6 linked regions of the Rattus norvegicus genome follow. The protein of the gene in region 5 purifies or fractionates together with the protein of the main gene of each other region. This does not show direct contact. Links are inferred from orthologs where the notes say so. Each region holds a gene or a part of one and is shown on either strand. Other genes may lie near its edges.

Region 1 (3,500 bases), on a different chromosome or scaffold from region 5:
GGCTCTATCATTATGTCTTTTGAGGAAGGGGAGCTCACAAGACCCCACCCATCCTGAGGCTTTATAACCAACCACCTAATGTGGGAGGGCGAGACATTTTCCTCAGTCTTGTAGCCACTGTAAAGTGCCCATGCTGCTATAAACACACCACCCATGAACCTATAGTCAGTTCCAATGAGATTCAGTGTGTATGCAAATGAGAATAATGAGTATGAGTAAGTATGATTAAAATAACACAATAAGCATGTATAAGATATAATAAACTTATTGTTATGCGTAATTAATACTATAATACAAAGTAAAAAAAATAGGGGGAGGGTGAAGACCTAAGGCGGGAAAGCCTACGTCCCACTACTGTACTTAAAGAAGAAACAACACAAAACAAACCAATCTAGTTAAACTCTCTAACTTACCAGTAATGATGCCACTAGCCAACCCTGGAATGCCCTGGATTGAGGTGACATTATTGTGAACAAAGTACTCATCACAGGTGGCATTAAAAAACTGACTTGAGTTGCAGAAGAATCCCCATAACTTTGATGGTATTGTCATGTTGTTAACTTCCTTGGTCTTAGAGCAAATGTCAAGGTGTCTTGATGACAGGGTGCGGTTGCCCAGCATACAGACCCTAAATCAAAGCAAACAGAGAAGAAGAGAAAGATCAAGAAGGGAAAAAAGAACAGAGAAAACTAAGTTTTAAAGATGAAAAAACAAGGATAAAATGTCATTGCCCAGAGATTTTACTGTCATGGGTAGACAAGGATGACCTAAAATTGAGGTGACCTGTACTTTCTGCCAGTGTAACCCTCACAGATCTCACAATATTTTAACATTTATCTTTTGTAGCTGGAGGCCCTGAGGGTTACAGGGATGCAGTATTCTGCCCAAGACCAAGGTCATACAAATGACAGATATAGGTGATATGATTCAAACACAAGAACTGTACAAAGAAACTATGCTCAATTATCTTCCAAAAATATTTGGCTATTCATTCACTTTCAGGCCCAAAGGAATCCTGGAGAGGTTAGGGAGATGGAGTTCTTGTTATGGAAGCATGAGAACCTGAGCTCAGATCTCCAGCACCCAGGTCAAAGCCTGGTGTGGTCATACGTGCCTGTCATCTCAGCTCTGGAAATTGGGGCAGGGGAGGAGGAGACACAGAAAGGCTGGACTATTTAGCCAGTCCAGCTAAACAGTGCAAAAAATGGTACAATATAGAGAGTGATAAAGGATACCTGAAACCTTGTTTTGGTTTCCACACAGACACACATATGGACTGTCACTGCCCTACCCCCACACCATTACCACCGCCAGCAACAATGAAATCCCAGAGAACTTCTGCTCTTATTTTTAAAATATGTCCAAATACCCATATTTTCATTTGCTTGTTTTCTTTCTAGGCAGAGGCAGAGAGGGGGAGGAGGAAGAGAAAGAAAGAAGGTAGGGAATGAAATGTGAAGAGGCTTGTCACAGCCTCCTGGGACTGCCAGCTCGTCCAAGTCTTCTGATTACTGCTACAGGACAGTCTGACTAGACTTAAAAGCATCTCTCTCCATGGCCCAAGAGAAAACTGTTTTTGACCTTAAACCTAGACCCAGTGGTAAAGAGGAATTATACAAATATTAACTGCAGTTTTATTTTTTTCTACTACCTAGAAACATAAACAAGAATGGAGTAATAGACCTGTAATACAATACTTCTGAGGTACAAAAAAACAAAAAACAAAAAAAAGAAAAAATAAACCACGATTCCAAATCTGCAGAGTGATTTCATACATACACAATTAGCCACGTGGCTTCAACAACTCAACAATCCTAGTTTTGTTTCATGGTTTATCTAAGGTTTTTGGTTTTTTTTTTTAACATATTATGCTGGAATTTAAAAAAACAAAATAGCTTGTATTGGGATTTCTTCTTCAACCAAACAGAAATAGAGAAGCCCCAAAGAGGAACCTGAAGCAAATGGAATTTTCCGAGTTGAGATACAGCTTAAAAAGTTGCATCTAAAACTTTTACAGGGCTGGAGAGATGGCTCAGTGGTTAAGAGCACTGACAGCTCTTCCAGAGGTCCTGAGTTCAAATCTCAGCAACCACATGGTGGCTCACAACCATCTGTAGTGAGATCTGATGCCCTCTTCTGGTGTGTCTGAAGACAGCTACAGTGTACTCATATATAATAAGTAAATCTTTAAAACTTTTATAACTCTGAAAATGATCTTTATTTTATGGCCCTAAGTAAGCAAAATGAAAATTTATGGTGGGATTTATTACTGACATCACATAGAAGAAATACCAAATAGCAATCAGGAAATCACAAAGTCCCATGAAATAGCTGACTTTGGGGAAAGTCATTCATCTTCACTTGATCTGGCTTCTTCATCATGAAAAAAATGTTTTTGTATTTTTTTTTCCTGTAACTTGTTTTAAATCAGCATAATATCAATAACTTTGATTCCCTGCTGATCCACATGAGTTCAAAGGCAACTTCTGTAATAAGATTACATTACAAATACTCAGTGTCAACTGGCCTCTGTGTCACAAATCCTTGAGACAACAGGTGAGTCTGTGAAGGAAGTCTGCACAAATTCATCACTTCACTACTGTACTATGTATGATATGGCACGTCCAGGGGACATACATGCGATAAGACAGCCATTTCCCTTTATACCTGATAACTCTGAGCACTTACGGTACCAAGAATAAAGTAAATAAATAATTTAGGTAACTCTTTAAAAAAAGATTTAGTTTATGTATATGGGTGTTTTTGCCTACTTGAATGTTCTGTACGCCTGAAGCCTGTAAAGGCCTGAAGAGGGCACTAGATCCCTTGGAACTGGAGTTACAGACAGTTGTGAGCCATCATGTGGGTGTTAGGGACCTAGGTCCTCTGAAGATCAGCCACTGCTTTTAACTACAGAGTCCCCTTTCCAGACTGCTACTGTAGAATTCTTTTGAATTGATTTTTATTTTAAAAGCGACTGAACATTATTTGCTGGTAATGACTATGACTGCAAAGTCCTTCATGGATAGTTCACACAAACACAATCATTATTGGGGGGCAAGGAGCAGCATACATAAAGAGGTGTACCTTAAGAATGGATACAGCTGTTAGGTCTACATTTCAGAAGTGAAGAAGAGGGTCAATAGGACAGTATGTCAGGAAGCTTCCTTCTGGGAAATTGGACCAATAGGAAATCACTCCATGAAATTTTGGTGAAAATGTTCACATCACCAGATACCTTCACTGACTATCCAATGACGATTATGTCAAAGAGAGGTACGTACGGGAAGTGTGGTGGAGCAAAGGAAGACTTGATGGCACCAGCATAGATAGCCAAGATCGACACAATTACACAGGCCAGGAAAAGTGAGGCAAACTTATTCACATAGCGTACGCCGATGAACACCACCAAGACCATGAGGACCAGGAAGGCTGTACCATAGACACGCATGTTGTTCAGCATGGCTGCTGACTCCTTGAGTGCATCATCGCTCCGAAAG
Region 2 (3,500 bases), on a different chromosome or scaffold from region 5:
TAGCCATGCCTCCTGAGACAGCACAGACTGTGAGGTCTCACCCATCAGGGACCCAGACCCTCAGCCCAGACAGACAGCAGCTTTGAGTGCCCAGCTGTCCGTAGCAGCAGGGTAGAGGACAGTCTGAGGCAAAATGACTGGGCAAGGAAGGAAGACTTCCGCAGATGGACTCACCAGGAAGATCTCGATGGTTCCCAGGATGTACATGGCGCCTGCGAACGTTGTGCCCAAGTAGAAGCAGAGGCCAACAGCCCCTCCAAACTCAGGCCCCAGCGAACGGGAGATCATGTAGTATGAGCCTCCCGCTGTGAAGACAGCCCAAGGCAAAATATGGGTCAGGGAGTGTCATTAACTGTGAACACTGAGCACTTATAAAAAAAAGATGTGTCCCCATTAAGGGACGAGCAGCTTTAGTCTGCCCTCAAAGCAGAATCACTAGAAAGCCTTGGGCTATGAATTCATGTCTACCCCGTCCACAGTCACAGGCTAGCTCAAGTGTGATGAGAACCATCTGATACAGGCCTCACCTGTCTTCAGAAAACCTGCTGTGCCCTCAGACGGTTGAAGGAGAGACACTGGCACAGGCCTGTGGACTCCTTTATGCAGAGGACAGGCAGTAGTGCTTGGGGGTGTCTCTGCTAGCACATAAGAGTCCACCGCTTCAGAAGGACCTGCATTCTACTTAGGTTTGTGTCCAACTCAAGGATGTGGTGTCTGTCCTCGTAGTAACAGACAGGCAAGCAGTGAGGGTGTGTTTACACCAGAGCCTCTGGGGAGAGAGCCTCTCCCTTCTCTCCATGGGCAGCACAATACTCCAGTGCCACCCTGGTGAAAACAGTTAATGTCACTGTCATCACATGAGCCTGGGGCGGGAATGGCATCTGCATGCAATAGCTCTTGCCCTGTACTGTGAAGAGATCGATAAACCAACTCAAGGGCCACAGGCGCTGGCACCCTCACCTGGGACCACACCGTTGGTAGCGATGGCACTCATGGAGATGGCTGTCAGCATTGTCTGCAAAGAGAGGCAGCTTTTTCAGGAAACTCGTGCCCTGAGATGCTCCGACGCGCTCAGCCTGAGGCTGCAAGCTTCTGACCTCAAAGGAGGTACTAATGACCAGGGAAGACAGGCCTCCTGCCTGTCAACCCTTTTCTACCCAACCCACAAACCCATTCCCAAAGGTCACAGAAGACACAGGTTTCGGACCCTGTTCGCCACAGACCTGAAAGCTGAACCTCATCTAAGTGCCTGACCTTTCTACCAATCCAAGAAGCACAAGAGGACGCTTCATCTAGATGTGCATGCAACAGGGAACAGGGCACCACACCTTGTATCCCCCTCACCTCCAGCAAGCACCCTCTGCTCAGGTAAGTTTATTTGAGGGTACCAGGAATGTGGTACCAAGAATGGCATCCACTGGAAACCAGAAGACAGCTTGGGGTGACCATGTGGAATGACCAGCCTGGAAATATAGGCGAATGCCCTAGGGTGGTCATGGTGTGGCAAAGACATGAAGTGACCAGTTGGGAAGCATGGGCTGGAGGATTGGAAGGACAACATAGACTGACCAGTCATGGAACAGGCAAGCAGGTAGCCACAAGAATGGCCAGTCAAAGGACAGTAGGTAGCCTGGGATAGACACACAGGTGTGAGCTATCAGGGAACAAGTGGTCAGGTAGCCTGGGGTAGGAGTCAAGGAGACTCCCATTCAACCATATTATCTGACTTCCCTACAGAAAGGACCCAGTGACACGTGGGTAAGTAAAACAAAGGTATACTCTTCCTCACCAGAGGAAGGGGAAGGACAGAAAGTCAGCTGGTAAACAAGGATAAGGTAAACCAGCATGACAAAAATGTCAGTAGAACTAGAAAACATGCTGGAAGCCTGGACTTGAACAAGTTTCAAACCTGTGTCCCTTTCTCTTCAAGAAACTCTGAAAATATCCATTATCCTTCCAAACTAGGGGGGTCTCATCATACCCCAATAAGAGGCACCTGTCCTGACGAGAAATGCAACCCTCAACATAGATACAGCTAGATAAGATCTTCAGACTAGCAGGAAACCTGCTTTGCCAGACCGGATGGGCCAGCCCACCTCTCCTGAGTCCTCTATAGGACTGAGCCTCTCTGGTTCCTAGAGAGGGACCTAAAAACGCAGACCTGGATTTCCCAATAGTAGCCTCCCCGGGCCCTAGCACAGCTCCTGCGAAATTGCCCCAGGACCAGCTGCAAACATGAACACTCACACAGGTGCAGCACATGGCCACGATGAGGAAGGACTCCAGAACGCCAGCCGCCCCCACAATCCAGGTCAGGCGCAGGAAAAGGATTACACCCAAGATGTTCTGCAGGCACGGTAGGTAGACTCCGATGAAGGTGCCCATGCGTGGGGCCTGGAACAGAGTATCATATGTCTGGGGAGGCTCACAGCCCGCACCCAGTAACTCAGCCTGGAGCCCTACCCCATGTTTTGGTTTGGAGGTCACAGGAAAAGAAAAACTGGGCAGGGACATGGTGGCCATACAATGAAAATACAAGGATAGGGAAGATGCCTACAAAAATCTACGTCCTAAATAAGATGAGGTTCTGTGACTCTAGAGCAGACTCCTGGCGTCTAGAGCATTGTGCTGGAGGTTGAGAAAACCATCCTAGGCAGACACAGGAACAAACCGCCTGACTCTGGTTTCCTGCCGGGGAGAAGAATCAGAGTGGGAAGTTTGGAACAGTGAGGTAGGGTCCCTGTTCTATATGTGGGACAGCTAGGGGCCTGAATCTTGGTGCCAGGTAGCTTGAGGCATGAAAGAAAGGAGGCCAGAAAGGGGCCAAACACCAGTAAGACTACCTGAAAGTTCAAAAGTCTCACTGTCATACAATAGGAAACAGACTAGAGACTCGGGGACACAAGAGCTGAGAAGCCAGACCCCAACAGGGAGGCTCATCTCAGTCTAGGTGGACACAGAACAAGATGGAGGACTAGCTTGAGCACATTGCCTGTAGATGATGACCACAGGGCTGGCACAGAGCAATGCTCGCACAGAAGCCTGGCCAAGGACGTCATCCAACCTAGACCAGGCAGCGAGAGCCCAGCAGCTGAGGGATGGTACAGGATGGCTGTAGCTGGCCAGAGGGCAGAGTCCAAGGAGAACAAACTGACCACCTAAACCTGAGAGAACAGGATGGCAGCTCAGGCCTGCACAGGACCCTGCCACTGTGAGCCACCCAGGGCAGGGCCGCTTAACGTCCACCAACTCGACATCAAAGGTTTCACAGGAAAAAAGGAGAGTGTGTGGAGAGCTCTGGGTTTGACAGCCTGGAGACCTTATCCCTGCACCCAAGGCCAGTGAGCATCAAGGTTCACACAGAAGGGAGAAATATATATAGCAAGAGGGAGGCCCAAGACTTGACCTCATGCCCTCCCTATCTTTGAGGTCTGGCACTGCATTGTGGGGTCAGAAAATAAAATCCTTATGGGTTTGGATTCTGTAAGCTGGTAGATGAA
Region 3 (4,128 bases), on a different chromosome or scaffold from region 5:
ACACATACACAAAAATGTATAAAAGAAGCAGAGGCAGAGGCAGGTAAATCTCTGTGAGGTCCAGGTCAAACTGATCTGTATAGCAAAGTTCCAGTCCAGCTAAACAAATAAATGTGTAAAATGAGGGAGTTTAAACTTACACACACACTCATTTTCATTCTCCCTCCCTCCTTCTCCCCACCCCCTCACTGAGAATCTCCTAAAAATACCACCACTTTTCAATGATGTCACAAAGGCACTACCACACCTCAGAACATCACCCCACATCTGATGTCAAGGCCATAGTACAAATATCCCAAGCAACCAAAACAAGGACTTTAAAAGAGACAAATGGGTGGGCTACACACACCCAAACTTCCAGCACTCCAGAAGCAGAAGCAGTAGGATCACAATAAGTCTGATACCAGCTTGGCTATGCATGGAATTCCAGGCCGGCTGGTTTACAGAGCAAGAACAGAACTCAAAAACCAAACTACACCAAAAAAACACTGGAGGCCAGGCCTGGTGGCACACACTTCTCAATGCAGAAGTCAGAGGCTATTACAGGTTGGAAGAAGTGACTGGGCTACTTAGTGAGTTTGGAGACAGCATGGGCTACACAGGAAAAACCCGGGTCAAAATAAACAAAATGACCAAGGACGATGGGGGATAGACAGGACTTGGGCAGAAGTATCAGGAGTTCAAAGTCATCTTCAACTAGTGAAGAATTAGAGGCTGGCCTGAGCTACACTGAGACCCCGTCTCAAAAATATTAACAAAACAAAACCTCATAAACAGAAAACAAAACCTCTACAGAGCAAGTCACTGACCACACCCAAAGTGGCTGTCAAGTTTCTCTCAGGTCCTGGCACCCAGAAGGGTCTCATCCCAGGAAGATGTGCGGAGACACCTGAAACAATAGCACTTAGGCTGTGCAAGAGCACCTGCTCTTACCTATGATGAAGTGTGCACACTGCACCCTCTCAGGGACCCTCACAGTGCAAATGATCTAGCATCTGTTGGAGAGCACACAGCATCTCGTCTGTTCCCTCAGCACCTGCTGAGCAGCTGGGCTCTTAACAGTCACCCATGCACACTACAACCAGAGCTTCTCCAACTGTATGTGTGTAAAACTTGCCAACAGTGACAGGCTTCTGAGTGCACAAGGACCAAAACTTAATTCAGAATCAAATGTGCAATGGACAGTCCTGAGTCTATGCAAGTACCACATACTGACACGCTTCATGATGCCAACAAATGCTGCCTGGCACACCCTGGCTTCATCTGATGCGACCATGCTATGAGCTGCACTGTTTCCACTGCACAGAGAATGTTTTTCTGTTCTTACTGAAGCATAAGGACTTAATTCCAAAGAGCCAAGACTTAGAATAGTTCCCTACCAGACATCACACTTGAGCTTTCAAAGATGAAGTCACTATGTCTGGATTGTTATCAAGTTATATAAACATGCACCTTATTACTACACAAATTAGATTTCATCTTTAATAAGTGGTAAAAAGAACTGTTTTAAAATAAATCTGACTTGGTTGATATCAGTTAATACTTGTTTAGCGATCTACTCAGTTAGATAAGTTCTCAGAAGTCTAAGGAGCCCAGTATACATCATGAAGCTCAAGCCACTCAAATATGAGGCACAGTCCACACCTTATGTAGCATGTATACCTTATGTAGTATGTACTTATGTAGCTTGTACACCTTATGTAGCATGTACACCTTATGTAGTATGGCCCAGTGTGTCTCTTACTTTCCCATTGCTGTGATAAACACTATGAGACCAGGGCAACTTGAGGAAGGGTGAGTTTACTTGGGCTCATAGTTCCAGTCCATTATGGCAGGGCAGACTGCTGACTAGAGCAGCAGTTCCACTCTCAAATAAAATGCCCACCCCATACTTCCTCCAGTCACCAACTACGGGCCAACTATCCAAATATATGAGGCTTATGAGGGCCATTTCATGCAAACCACCACACCTAGGCTTAAAGGACACAGCTAATGTGCTTTTGGCCTGTGGCATCATACGGCACTATTGGAACAGAGGCAAAGGCCAGGAGTCTGGACTTGGAAGTGTGAGGAACACCTTTCAGAACTCCAGAACTCTCAGGTAGCAACTACTTTCCTTTACATTTTACTTGTATGACCCCCAGTCTTGCTCTGTAGCTCATAATACGGGTGGCAACCTTCCTGCCTCAAACTCTTTTTAAATACCTCTGATACAGTTGAGATGTATCCTCCCTGAAATGGCCAGCCTTACAGGCACCATATAAACACTGGCCAGTCCTACATTCACGGTGCTACTCTGAGCAGATGACTTCACTCCGCTTACTTCAACTTCAGTCACTCAAGGATCAGTTTTGTACTGAGACCCAGGGCTCACCTTCCCTGCTGCTCACAAATAACCCTCCAGCCCTCCCCCTTCAGCCTCCTTCCCACATGCCTCCACTCTAGGCCACACCTCTCTCCTCAGCCCAGCGGCAGCCCAGGCTGTGCTCTCACCCACCTGCCACACAGTACACACTGACGGCTGCTTGCAATCTCTGAAACAGGACAGCATGTGTTAGGTTTTAGGAGTTATCTAGCCTCTGCGATCACTCAGTTTCACAACTGCATGGGAAGCAGGGGCAGGGAATGAGTAAGCAGGACCTTAAAAAGCTTTATCCAGAGAGCCTGGCGCTCAAACCCCACTTAATTTCCACTGCTTACAAAATACTCATTTGCATTTGACCACTAGAACCATTCTTAGCATGGGAGTCCCCTAAAAAAGGGAAGCAGAACAGATGTGGCTCCCAGACACTTGGCAGATCACTTCTGCTCTCTAAAGTGTTGCCTCCCTCCGCATCTCTTGTTCCTGGATGTCAGAGCAGCCGCATGATGCTGGTCTTTCCCATCCACCCACCCCACCCCACCCCTTACTTAAAGCAATGAAAATGGAAACTAAGTGCTTGCCCGTAACTGTAAAAGGGAAGCTAGGGCAGGGACAGAGCCTTTGTACCAGCCTATCCTCCAAATCACAACGTCAACCTTTTCTCTTGCAGCTTTCAACTCAAAGGACTCCACCAACAGAACGTCCCTTCTTCGTATAACCACAATGGCCATTTCATTACGAATAAATCCCACCACAGTGAAGGCACAGCCCTTCCTTACCACCCAAATCACACCTGCTTGTACAGCTCTCTCCAGTCTATTCGAGGACTTACACACACACACACACACACACACACACACACACCCCTTCACCCCTCCCCGAGAGCACTGGGTGGGTGTGGTTCTCCCCTCTCTTACAGTCCCCTACCAGATGCAAAAGCAGATGTGGACAGGGGTGCGCGTAGAGTTGGAGGTGCACTCCTTACTAAGTCATGAACCAAGTGCCAGGTGTGGAATGGGCTCTACTCATGAGCTTCCTCCTCACATGGATTAGAGGAAGCCTTGCTCTTCCTCCTACCCACTCAGGTGCTGGGGCAGATGGGTTTCCTCCCCACTCTTTAAGTCACTACAGAATAGGTCTCCTTCCTCACCTCCACTAACGAGGAGAGAACCTAGGCAAGTGGCCGCCTTCTCTGCACTACCTGACCTGGGGGCTCCTCTCCCTCGCCTTAACCCTTCTCTACATGTGAAGTGATGTGAGGTGCAGTCAAGCGGGGATGGAGGTTTGGGTGTTTGGGATGGGTCCTTTCCATCAGTAGAGAACCGTAGGGACAGGTGCAGGTATGCAGGGTACCGGGACAGTCCCCGTGTCCGTGCGCGGCGGACACGCAGCAAAGTCATGGCTTAGGTTCGGGTAGGTGTGGTGCGCAGGAGGTGCAGACACAAAACGGGGAGGACCTGGGCGGGTCCGGCTCACCTGATCCGCTCCAAAGGGTGTGATGTTGGCCTTGACCGTGGCCACACCGAGTCCCACGAGCACTAGACCCGCGAAGGTGGCGGGAGCACAGCGGCGCGCGGCAGCATCGGGACAGACCGCCGTTCCGTTAGGGAAGGGAGCCGAGCAGTTGCGCACCAGCTCCGGGTGCGGATCCCCGCAGAGAAAAGAGCGCGAGCGGGGCGCGGCCAGCAGCGGGAAGGCCAGCATGCCCAGCAGGTAGAGCGCCAGGCTGAGCAGGATGGCGCGCGCCCGGCCGAGTCGCGCGTCAG
Region 4 (3,500 bases), on a different chromosome or scaffold from region 5:
GTGTGTGTGTGTGTGTGTGTGTATGTGTGAATGTATGTATATATATATAGTAAGTCTTGAAGTCAGATTAACTTCTTCCAAAATAGTTCTAGCAATTTTAGCTTCTTAGTAATTAGTAGTACCTTTATTGTTTATGTATAAATAAACTATTAAGATATACTGATCAATAGAGCTGGGCATGTAGCTTGTTGGGAGGTGCTTGTCTAGCCTTCACAAAGCCCTGGTCTCAGTCCTTAGCACCACACAAACTGGGTGAAATGTCACATGCTTGTAATCCCAGCGTTTGGGAAGTAGAATGGGTCATTGTCATTGTGGTGAAGATCTGGGTGGCACGCAGGCAGGCATGTTGCTAGAGAAGTAGCTGAGAGATTTAATTCCTGATCTTCAGGTAGCAGGCAGAGAGAGACAGACACTGGGCCTAGGGTAGACTTTTGAAACCTAAAAGCCCACCCCAACAACTCATGGCTTCCAACAAGGACACACTTCCTAATCCTTCCAAACATTCTGTAAGTCAAAGCTCCTAACACCTGAGCTCTTACACTTCTGTCTGTCCTGGACTTGGTCCTGTGTTTACGCACGTTTCGGCAGTCAGGCTAGCGTTCCTTACTTCCGTTCAGCGCTTCATTTGGACAGCTGTCTTGCCTGTCATCTTTGCTGCTGTATGTGGTGGACAACAGTGATGGAGCCCCTATTTTCAGTCAGTGTCACTACGTCCTTTCTACTCCTATTCACCATTAAATTTTAGAAGTGCTGAGGGAAAACATAAACTGGAAAGTCAGAAGTCCTACTTGACTTTTCCTACAGTATTTTCTGATACTAAGCATAGGATACTGATGTGTTTGTGCAAAGGACAGTGCTTCTGAGAATTGAGCCTGAAGTTTTCATGTCTAACTCTTGAGTGTGGGAGGAGTGCACATGCATGTGCAGAAATGTTTGGGCACAATGCACAGGGGAAGCAATATACTGCATGTACATGTAACCTTCGTCACTTATCAGGGTGTGACTAATTGTCTTTTGCTTGTAACTTCCTGTATCCCAGGTATTTAGAAGCAGAATAGAATTTGTATCATAATCTTTTTGGCTTGGCATTTTTACCTTTAACTGTTATGTACTTAAAAAACTTCATACCTACATTACTTTTACAGCCCGTACAAATAAACCCTCTTGATGTATGAGTACACTTTCATAAGAGCTTACCTCAGTCTGACTTACTGGCTAGATCTAACCATCAGTGTTCTAGAACCTAGATGAGAGAAATGAGTTACATAATAGAGAGATAGAGTCAGCACATCACAGGATATAGGATAGGAGCTCCAGAGTGTGGCAGGAAAAACAATTAGAAAAATTCAACAGTATGACCATATATTACAAATATTGAAAACCACATTACCCAAATAACAGCAGACATTTTTGAGAGCTGTTTAAAACAAACAAACCTGTCTTGAAATGACCAAGAAAATGGGGTAGTTGGGGTAGTTTGATTGCTGACAACATAGGGATACTGTGAAGAAAAGTTCAGATAACTAAGCTGACTAATGGCTGTAGTTAGACTTTTCAAAAAGTCTTCGCCTCTTAAGAGATACAGACTGATCCTTCATGCATTAAAAAGCCAGGAGTCTTTGGAACGTGGTGTGGGATTGGCCCACGTTGTGTTTGGTTGAGACCTGGTGTTGTGTAGTTGGTAGTTCGTTACCCACAGTTTCCGTCATTTGTGCATTTGAAAATTTATGAGGAAAGGGTTTTTAAGTCAGAGACCTATTTTAATAATTTGTAATTTACTTCTCATTGCTATTACCAGATTCCTATCAGATTATTTCTAGTATTAGTTTTCTTTATTAGAAACCTCAAGTTGTGAGTATTTACTCTGTTCTGTCATTTATTCAAGGTGATGAGCATGGTGTCAGGATTTGCACCCCTGATCTCTGCGGGTATCTTTTCAGCCACACTCTCATCAGCACTGGCATCTCTTGTGAGTGCTCCCAAAATATTTCAGGTAAATATTTTCATATTATTGTTATTGAAGATGTTAAAATAATATTTCAAATTCAGATAAATTACCTTATCAATCTCATGTGTTTGTTTGCATATACATATATCAAGATTGGTGTAAATTTTATTTACATAAATGCTGTGTAGATCCCTAAAAACATTTGTGCATTTTCCTACTGTCAAGGTACAGCCTTGAAATGTCTTTAGGAAGGATGATTGGAGGGTCTGGAGAGATGGCTCAGCAGTACAGGTTCACACAGAGAATCCAGATTCAGTTTCCAGTATGTGCACTGGGTGTACATAATCAGCTGTAACTCCAGACACATAGATAATTGAAAATGATAAAATAAATATTTTAGGGATTAAAAATATTTTAGGGATTAGGTGGGTTTTGTTTTTGGCATACTTAGCATTAAAGTTTAGGATGGTTGTCAAGTTAGGAGTGCAGCGTAAGACTCTAAATCAGAACTGTAAATAGTGGTTTCAGTTAACATGATGCCAACTTGACTATCTTATGTGGCTCATAGTGCAGCGACTGTAGTAGAGGCCGTGATAGCTAGGATGAGTGTTGCTTCCTATGGTGGTCATTAAGCATCTGACAGTGATAAGTGTTGACTTTCTAGCCTTGCTCTTAATACTGTATTTGTAGCAAGAAGTATAGCAGTGTTGTCTAATAGGACTTTTAAGACAATATCTGTTAGGATTGGGAGAAAAGTAGTTCAACTTTATACTTCGGGTTTTTAATCATTTTCATTTCAGATTTGGAGTTGGTTTTCTTAAAGCCTTAGGTACACTGTATCATAATGCCAACTTTTAGGGTTTTTCATTGTACTTTGTTTGAATGACTGCTTCTCCGATTCTTCATAAATAGAGTTTTAACATGGGATGGAGCAAGACAAACAAAATCTTTAGCAGTGTTAGGAACCATCTAGCCTTCAGCTGTCTGAACTGTTCACTTGTCCTTTATAGTCTGTCGGTGCAGCACCGAGAGACAGGAAACATAGTATCGGAAAGGAGAGACTTGGACTTCATTCTTGGTTAACATACTTTAACTGTTTGCAGATTTGCACATCGTAAGTTTTATGTGTTTTGTTTTAATGTTTGTATTTTTTTTCCCTTGGGTTAGGCTCTATGTAAGGACAATATCTACCCAGCTTTCCAGATGTTTGCGAAAGGTTATGGAAAAAATAATGAACCTCTTCGTGGTTACATCTTAACATTCTTAATTGCACTTGGATTCATCTTAATTGGTTAGTTCTATGAATGGTATATTATGTAGGTTTTGGTATGTTTTGATATAGTGTTATCTGTAATCATGAATATTAAGTTATTAATGTATATTAATTAGTTTCTAATCAAAGTAAAATATTGCAAATAGTAGTACCTGATATTACTTATTAAACTTAATTCCATTGTGCAAAATTAGGGTAAAAGGAATATTATATTCTTTCTTTTTTTGTCCCTATTCTTTCTTTCCTGCCTCCCCCCCACCCCTTTTTTTTAAGATTCAC
Region 5 (3,500 bases):
TTGGAAGATGGAGCCAGCCAGCCTTGATCAGAGGCTTTGCACAGTATCTCTTAGCGTTTCTAGATGTATCACTCTTTAAACAGAATTTGACTGGTGTTCTGTTAATAGAGCACCTTTTGAGGAGAATGGGAAAGTTCGATTGTTTGTTTGTTTTCCCATGTAGGCTCTTTTGAGTGACATATTATTTAACAGTGATTTGACCCTTCAGACCTAAGAGTTTAACTTGTAAATCTTCAAGTCTCTTAAAATTGAAGCAGGGGTTGGGGATTTAGCTCAGTGGTAGAGCGCTTGCCTAGGAAGCACAAGGCCCTGGGTTCGGTCCCCAGCTCCGAAAAAAAGAATCAAAACAAAACAAAACAAAACAAAACAAAACTGAAGCATATTGGTCCTCAGCTCCAAGAAAAAAACAAACAAACAAACAAACAAAAAACAAACTAAAACTGAAGCGTACTTAAGAGGGGAAAAGGGTTTCTTTATGGGGAAGTGCTCGTTGGTTAGTTTTTAGAGACAGTCTTGCTCTGTGGCCTAGGTTAACGGTAAAGTCAATCCTCCTGCCTCAGCCTAAGATAGAGGTGTGTGGCACCATGCCCAGCAGAGGATTGCTCTTGTTTGTCTGCTTGTGCAGCTTAGACAGGCTCCACATTTCTGCTCCTCTTACCTCAGCCCCCCCTAGACTTGAGGTGGCAGGTGGTGACCATCCTCCCTGGTAACCTTCGCTACTTTAAAATTCCTTGTTGGTTTTTATGGCCCCTTGTATGTAAGTTTATCTAGGGATAGACACTGACAGCCTGAATTGGTAGTCTTCAATTCAACCAGAGGTGATTTTTGGCCTTAGAGATTTTTCCCACCTTTGAAAACATTTTGGGTTGTCACAAGTTACAGGGCAGTGTGCCACCGGCATCTAACGGCTTGAAGCCAGAGATATTGCTGAAGGGGTGGGGAAAGGTTTAATCAGAAGTGCTAAGTTCTCTGTCCACTTTGAGCTTCAAAACCACTTCCTAACAGGATCTCACAATGTAGCGTTGGCTGGTCCGGAACTCGCTCTGTAAACCAGACTGGCCTCAAACTCACAGAAATCTGCCTGCCTCTGCCTTCTGGGTGCTGTGTACCACTATGCCCAGCCTAGGCTTTATTTTCTTAAGAAAAAATCTGAAGCCAGGAACTGCGGGTCCTGCCTTTGATGCCAGTCCCTGGGAGGCTGAGGAAGGGGGGTTGCTGTAAGTGATCAAGGCTGGAATGAGACCCTGGAGCTTGGTATGTGGTCCAGGCTGACCTCAAACTCTCAGGCTACAGAATGCTGCGCTCACAGGCATGATGGACACGGTGCTCACCTAATCATGTTATTTCTCGGGATAACTGAGTAAACTATCACAGATGGGCAAAATGAAGTCAGAAGAGAGTCTGATTATGTATTAGGTTCAGGTGATTCTCTTTCTTTTTTTTTTTTTTTCCCCCTTTTTTTCCCGGAGCTGGGGACCGAACCCAGGGCCTTGTGCTTGCTAGGCAAGCGCTCTACCACTGAGCTAAATCCCCAACCCCATGTTCAGGTGATTCTCATGGCAGCAAGATGGCTGCAGTCGTTCTGAGCTCTGATCGATCTCATTCCCGTCCAAAGCTGCCCTCCCTGTGGCTGCTTGCATTGTTTCGTGCCTTAGTGCTAGCCTTTGCCAAATATGCCAATTGCTGTTAATTTAATCGCCAGCGCCCTAAGAAAGGAACGTTTCCAAACCACAGCTGCTCTCTGCTGCATTCTGAGGGAATCTGCTGAAAAGGGGGGCAGGTTTCATGCATCCTGTGGTTTGATAGGTGTGGCACAGGAGCAAGAGCTGGAGGAAACAGGGTACGTCTGCAAACCAGCCCCGTGACCAATCCGTGTAAGGCAAACCTGTTTGGCAGTATCTTGAAGGCAGCTGCCTCAGGCCGCCTGACTGGCCTTTGCTTGGCTGTTTTACTGCTGTTTTATTTGTTGTTGGAAACAAACAAACAAACAACAGCAAAAACCCACAGGCACCACAGCCAACACTTGAGGTGCTGAGGCAGGAGGATCCTAAGTTCAAAGTCAGGATGAACTACATAGAAAGACCTTAATACTTACAATACTTCGAAATCCAACCAAACACTCCCAAATGCCGCCTGTCCACCACCAACGCCCTTCCCAGCTCACAAGTGAGTTCTCAGGTTTGAATGTCCCAGCAGCACCGACCACACTCTGGTGTGCATGCGTCTCATATCTCTCACTGGCCTGGGGGCCCTGGGGGCCCTGGGATGGTGTGGAAAGCGATGGCTCAGAGCAGGCGTCAGGGTGCACCAAGCGAGGGTAACTAACCAGGCAGCAGCCATATCAGCTGTCTTAGAGATCTCGGTAGGAACCGACAGATGGATTTCCTCCAATCTGTGGCTGGGAAGAGAGGAGGGAGGGTTGTACTTCCCATGTATCCTTGCAAGGGTAGAAAAACTCAGGGAAGCAGGGAGCCAAGAGAATTTACCGTCTTTCACCGAGAGGAGAGACAGGAAATTCTCAACCTACCCCTTAGCCCTCAAGGCCTTTTACTCTCAGAGCACAAGCTCCTGGCGTCAAGGTCTGACTTCAGAACCTGAGTGGGTTTGGAATTTAGCTAGACTGTATCCCGCCTGTCCGCAAGATGTTTTTATGATCCAGCGCCATTGATCTAGGTGAAATGATTGTAGACTGACCAGAATTGCCCATGAACTATTTATGTTTAATCTCGTGAGATTTTGTAAAATGTTTTAGGCTCAAGTACTAATAACCCCCTTTGGCTTTTCTCTCTTAGGAAAATGGCAGACGGCTTCTCAGTAAGTATTTCATGTGTGTTCTCTTAGCCGAGCTTTCCCTTTGACCCTCCTACTGTGAAACTCCCTCTGGCTCTCGTGTGCATTCAGGCCTGTTAGCAGCAGGCTTGCTTTCCCAGCAGCAGATTACAGGGAGAGGTGTGGCCTGCACAGCGGAGATGTCCCTCCTGGAAGCAGCGAGACGGTGACTTGGTGCGCTCATGCCAACACCTGCAGCTGTCTCTCGTGTTGACTAGAAAGCGTGTGTTTATAGCCAGCCAGTTCCTGGTGTAAACCAGAAGAGCTTAACCCACCCCGACCCACGAAGATGAGAGACCAGAATAAAATACAACACAAAACAGCAGAAAAGGCGAGGGAAGAATATGAATCTTTTTCCTGTACTCTCAGCTTCTTAGATCACAAGTGCCTGGAGTCCCGTGGTGAAGGAGTCCCATCCTCTAATTGTTTGTCTTTCTTTACAGCTTAATGATGCCTTAGCTGGCTCTGGAAACCCAAACCCTCAAGGATGGCCTGGTGCATGGGGGAACCAGCCTGGGGCAGGAGGCTACCCAGGGGCCTCCTATCCTGGGGCCTACCCAGGACAGGCTCCTCCAGGGGGTTATCCTGGACAGGCTCCTCCTAGTGCCTATCCGGGCCCAACTGGCCCTAGTGCTTATCCTGGCCCAACTGCCCCTGGAGCTTATCCTGGC
Region 6 (3,500 bases), on a different chromosome or scaffold from region 5:
GTGTGTGTGTGTATGTGTGTGTGTGTTAGCATATCATGTAGCCCAGGCTGGTCTTGAACTCATAGTGTACCTGAAAAGGATGATCTTGAACTCCTGGTCCTTCTGCCTCTACTTTTCCAATGCTGGGATCACAAGTGTGCATTACCATGCCCAATTGTGTGTGTCTGTGTGTCTGTCTGTGTCTGTGTCTGTGTCTAACTCTTACTCGGTAGCTCTGATTAGCTATGAACATACTATGTGGACCGGGCTGACCTTGAACACACAAAGATCTGTCTGCCTCTGTCTGCAGAGAGCTGGGACTAATAGCGTGAGCCACCGTACCCAGCCCCATACCTAGCGTTTTATGATGCTGGGACATGAATCCAGGGCCCCTTGCATCCCACACTCTAACTGAGCTACATCCCAGACCTTTTGGTACCAGGCTGAAGAGAGAAAGGGGGTCTTACTTTGTAGCCCAGGCTAGTCTCAAACCTCGTCACCAACTCAAGGCCACCATGCCTATCTTTTTTCCCCCTTCAGTACTGGTGACAGAATCACAGCCTCCTACATGCCAGGCAAGCATTCTGTCACTGAGCTATGTCCCTAGCCCTGAGTCTTCTCAGCTCAGTACCTAAAGTAGCCTCCACTGGGCCAGAAAATGTATCTCCAAGGCTCCAGAAGAAAGCACAAGCGCCTGGTGGCACCGTTCTCGGGTGGAAAGGGGCTGGGAGAAGGAAGCTGTTCCCACAAACAGCCATGTGTGTGTCCCACTGGCAGCCATGTGTGTTTTCCAGACCTGTCTTCCCCGCTGGAAGTTTTGCGTGAGTGACACAGAAAACAACCTGGGCTTTGCCCTGGGCCCCATGTTTGTGAAAGCAACCTTTGCGGAGGACAGCAAGAACATAGTAAGTGCCTCTCTGTGTTCAGGGTGCTGGGGATTGAACCCAGGGCCCCACACGTACTAAGGCCCCAGCCCCAGCCCTCGCTGTGGTCACTAACAGTACTGACTGCGTAGAGCTTATGTCAGTCTGTGGTTAACACAGAGTCCAGCGGGAGTCAAGGGCTCGCCCCCTTCGGTCTGTCACCTCGGCTGCTGTGGAGGGCCTCCCCCCTCTTCTCCAGAATCTTCAACCTGTCTCCGACCTCCAGGTCCGGCCATGATGTAGTTACCTTTCCAGAGCTCCTGTTTGTTTCCGTAGCAACCGCAACCTTTTGGAAACTGTCCCTAGATTTCAAACCTCATTCCATTCAGAATGATTTCTGTGCTCTGGTCAGTCTGGGAATGGCCGAGGATTTTAGCCATCACGGAAGGGCTCACAGTGCACCTGCCCATGTGAGAGGCTCTGAAAAGTCCAGCAACAGAGACTGCGTCAACTTCCTGAAAGTCTGCCTCATCTCACTTGACCCCAGTCCTGTTAGCGGGAGGCCAGCCTTGGCTCGAAGGATCCTATAAGGAGAGGATGGGTAGGAAACATGGATCCTCCCTGACCCAGTCCTGAGTTTAGCCTTTGGCCGGCGGTGTCCTTTAAGCACAGCGCTCCCAGTGATGCAATGTCCTTAGTTAGGCACAGGGCTCCCGGTGATGCAATGTCCTTAGTTGGTGATGCCAGAGCCCAGCCCTCACTGGCGTGGCATCTGTCCCTCAGGCCAGCGAGATCATCCTGGAGATCAAGAAGGCATTCGAGGAGAGCCTGAGCACCCTGAAATGGATGGATGAAGATACTCGGAGGTCAGCCAAGGAGAAGGTGAGGCTACCTGGCAGTTCAGATGTGTGTGGATGCCATTGTGCCCTGTGATTCTAGTGGGACTCAGGACATCCTGAAGGCCCCCGTGGCATAGAGTCAGGGATATCCCATAGCAGAAGGGAAAGGACAAGGGGGGTGCCCACCCTGGAAGGGACTAGGCCAACCCTTTCGTAAGAGCCAGCTCCTGTGTTAAGTAACCCTCGGTCCCTCTCATTCCTGCAACCGTGGCTGTCCTTCATGAGGACCAAGGAAGGCTGTGTGACTCGCTCACCTTCCAGAACCGTTCAGCTCAGAATCAGTTACAATGTGTAAACTTTGGGTGACACATCCAAACCATGATGCTCTCTCGAGGGAAATGACATTTCACAGAATTTACCAGACTCCTTCCAGGAAAAAGATATAGAATCCTTAAGGGGGCAGGAGGCTAGCCCTGCCTCTCCTTGGCACGGACCCTGAGCTGGATCCCACAGAGCTGGGGCAGGCTTGGCTAGCACCATTTGACCCTGTTTTACTCCAATCCCTCCTGTCCAGGCGGACGCCATCTACAACATGATAGGCTACCCCAACTTCATCATGGACCCCAAGGAGCTGGACAAAGTGTTCAATGACGTAAGTGGCTTCCGTCTACCCCTCAAACTCCCTGAAGCCCATGTGAGGCAAGGCCACGGTGGTGGCCATCAACCTATACCAATGTGATGTAGGGCGGGGTTTAGGGATACGGGGCATGAGGAAAGTTTCCCCTGTTCCTTTGTGGTCCTGGGTCAGTGGGGGTCCCTGTCTCCCCAGAGCCACCATCAGCCATTGCTCTGTGGTTATTTCTGGAACACAAGCTCTGGGCCTCACTAGGAATGGCGGCTCCAGGGAGGGAGTGGGAACGGCTAGGGCAGGGTGCCTCCGTGGCACAGCATGTGCTTAGAGTGTGTGAGGCCGTAGGTTCCATCCCCAACAGCATGGGGCAGGAAAAAGGAGGGGAGAACAACCGGACATGCCAATATGTGTCTAACCCTAGGACTCCACAAGCTGGGGCAGGAGGAACAGGGTTCAAGGCCATCTTTGGCTACTTGGCAAGTTCAAGGTCACCCTGGACTATAAGGTAGACCCTATCTCAGACAGACAGACAGACGGACGGGTCCAGAGCGCGTACTGCTCTTACGGGAGTTGGGTTCTCAGCACCCGCCTTGGGCAGTTCCTGACCTCCTACAACTCAAGCTCCAGTAGATACGACTCCTTCTGGCCACCCCGTCACACACGAGTGTACAGTAAGCATGCATGCATGTGCATGTGTGTACACATACATTTATTAAGTTTATTACTTCAAAGAAAGTGTTTCTTCAAAGGCACAGTGAGAATCAGCAACCCTAAAGCCTCGAGTAAGCAAAGTGAGCCCCTTACCTGCTGCTGCTGCTGCTGCTCCCAGGCGTCCTCCTGCCCCTGAGCTCCTCTCTTCCCTCCTCAGAGAATGCCTAGACCTTTAGCTTTGACCTTGAAATGCTAATGGGAAAGAGGAAGCACACTTCCAAAGCCTGGCATCAAGGGGTAATGGAGGAGCTCCTGCCGCCTGGAACGCTAATCAGCTGCCTTGAGTGACTGCAGTTCTGAGCCACAAGATTAGGTCTTCCAAGTTCTCCATTGAAGATTGTCATTTGGGGCACTTTTGACGTTACAGTAGCCTCACCTCCGGGCTATATTTAAAACCCGAATCTATTAAAATTACCTCAGAGGCTGTCAGACTCTGTCTGCAGCTCCAATTCCTTGAGAATCATTTAAAGTGTTCTC

What was found.
Region 1: the proteins of Lgals3 (region 5) and Slc12a6 purify together in Homo sapiens (affinity purification with mass spectrometry; 3 studies listed by BioGRID and IntAct, counting the BioPlex papers as one, with this or other methods). This does not show direct contact. The link is inferred for Rattus norvegicus from reciprocal best matches to the Homo sapiens genes LGALS3 and SLC12A6.
Region 2: the proteins of Lgals3 (region 5) and Slc12a7 purify together in Homo sapiens (affinity purification with mass spectrometry; 3 studies listed by BioGRID and IntAct, counting the BioPlex papers as one, with this or other methods). This does not show direct contact. The link is inferred for Rattus norvegicus from reciprocal best matches to the Homo sapiens genes LGALS3 and SLC12A7.
Region 3: the proteins of Lgals3 (region 5) and Slc15a4 purify together in Homo sapiens (affinity purification with mass spectrometry; 3 studies listed by BioGRID and IntAct, counting the BioPlex papers as one, with this or other methods). This does not show direct contact. The link is inferred for Rattus norvegicus from reciprocal best matches to the Homo sapiens genes LGALS3 and SLC15A4.
Region 4: the proteins of Lgals3 (region 5) and Slc12a2 purify together in Homo sapiens (affinity purification with mass spectrometry; 3 studies listed by BioGRID and IntAct, counting the BioPlex papers as one, with this or other methods). This does not show direct contact. The link is inferred for Rattus norvegicus from reciprocal best matches to the Homo sapiens genes LGALS3 and SLC12A2.
Region 6: the proteins of Lgals3 (region 5) and Ece1 purify together in Homo sapiens (affinity purification with mass spectrometry; 3 studies listed by BioGRID and IntAct, counting the BioPlex papers as one, with this or other methods). This does not show direct contact. The link is inferred for Rattus norvegicus from reciprocal best matches to the Homo sapiens genes LGALS3 and ECE1.

The regions. Positions count from the first base shown.
Region 1 is NC_086021.1:119,599,612-119,603,111, reverse strand, and holds part of Slc12a6 (solute carrier family 12 member 6), read right to left. Parts: coding exon 3,285-3,500; intron 629-3,284; coding exon 414-628; intron 1-413.
Region 2 is NC_086019.1:31,327,126-31,330,625, forward strand, and holds part of Slc12a7 (solute carrier family 12 member 7), read right to left. Parts: intron 2,395-3,500; coding exon 2,248-2,394; intron 1,016-2,247; coding exon 961-1,015; intron 306-960; coding exon 175-305; intron 1-174. UniProt on the Homo sapiens protein: Mediates electroneutral potassium-chloride cotransport when activated by cell swelling. May mediate K(+) uptake into Deiters' cells in the cochlea and contribute to K(+) recycling in the inner ear.
Region 3 is NC_086030.1:34,699,257-34,703,384, reverse strand, and holds the start of Slc15a4 (solute carrier family 15 member 4), read right to left. Parts: upstream 2,801-4,128; 5' UTR 2,552-2,800; coding exon 2,498-2,551; intron 128-2,497; exon of another isoform or gene 7-127; coding exon of another isoform or gene 1-6. UniProt on the Homo sapiens protein: Proton-coupled amino-acid transporter that mediates the transmembrane transport of L-histidine and some di- and tripeptides from inside the lysosome to the cytosol, and plays a key role in innate immune response.
Region 4 is NC_086036.1:53,573,833-53,577,332, forward strand, and holds part of Slc12a2 (solute carrier family 12 member 2), read left to right. Parts: intron 1-1,885; coding exon 1,886-1,993; intron 1,994-3,115; coding exon 3,116-3,239; intron 3,240-3,500. UniProt on the Homo sapiens protein: Cation-chloride cotransporter which mediates the electroneutral transport of chloride, potassium and/or sodium ions across the membrane. Plays a vital role in the regulation of ionic balance and cell volume.
Region 5 is NC_086033.1:23,103,043-23,106,542, forward strand, and holds part of Lgals3 (galectin-3), read left to right. Parts: intron 1-2,792; 5' UTR 2,793-2,796; coding exon 2,797-2,814; intron 2,815-3,272; coding exon 3,273-3,500. UniProt on the Homo sapiens protein: Galactose-specific lectin which binds IgE. May mediate with the alpha-3, beta-1 integrin the stimulation by CSPG4 of endothelial cells migration.
Region 6 is NC_086023.1:155,444,531-155,448,030, forward strand, and holds part of Ece1 (endothelin-converting enzyme 1), read left to right. Parts: intron 1-773; coding exon 774-884; intron 885-1,625; coding exon 1,626-1,724; intron 1,725-2,255; coding exon 2,256-2,333; intron 2,334-3,500. UniProt on the Homo sapiens protein: Converts big endothelin-1 to endothelin-1.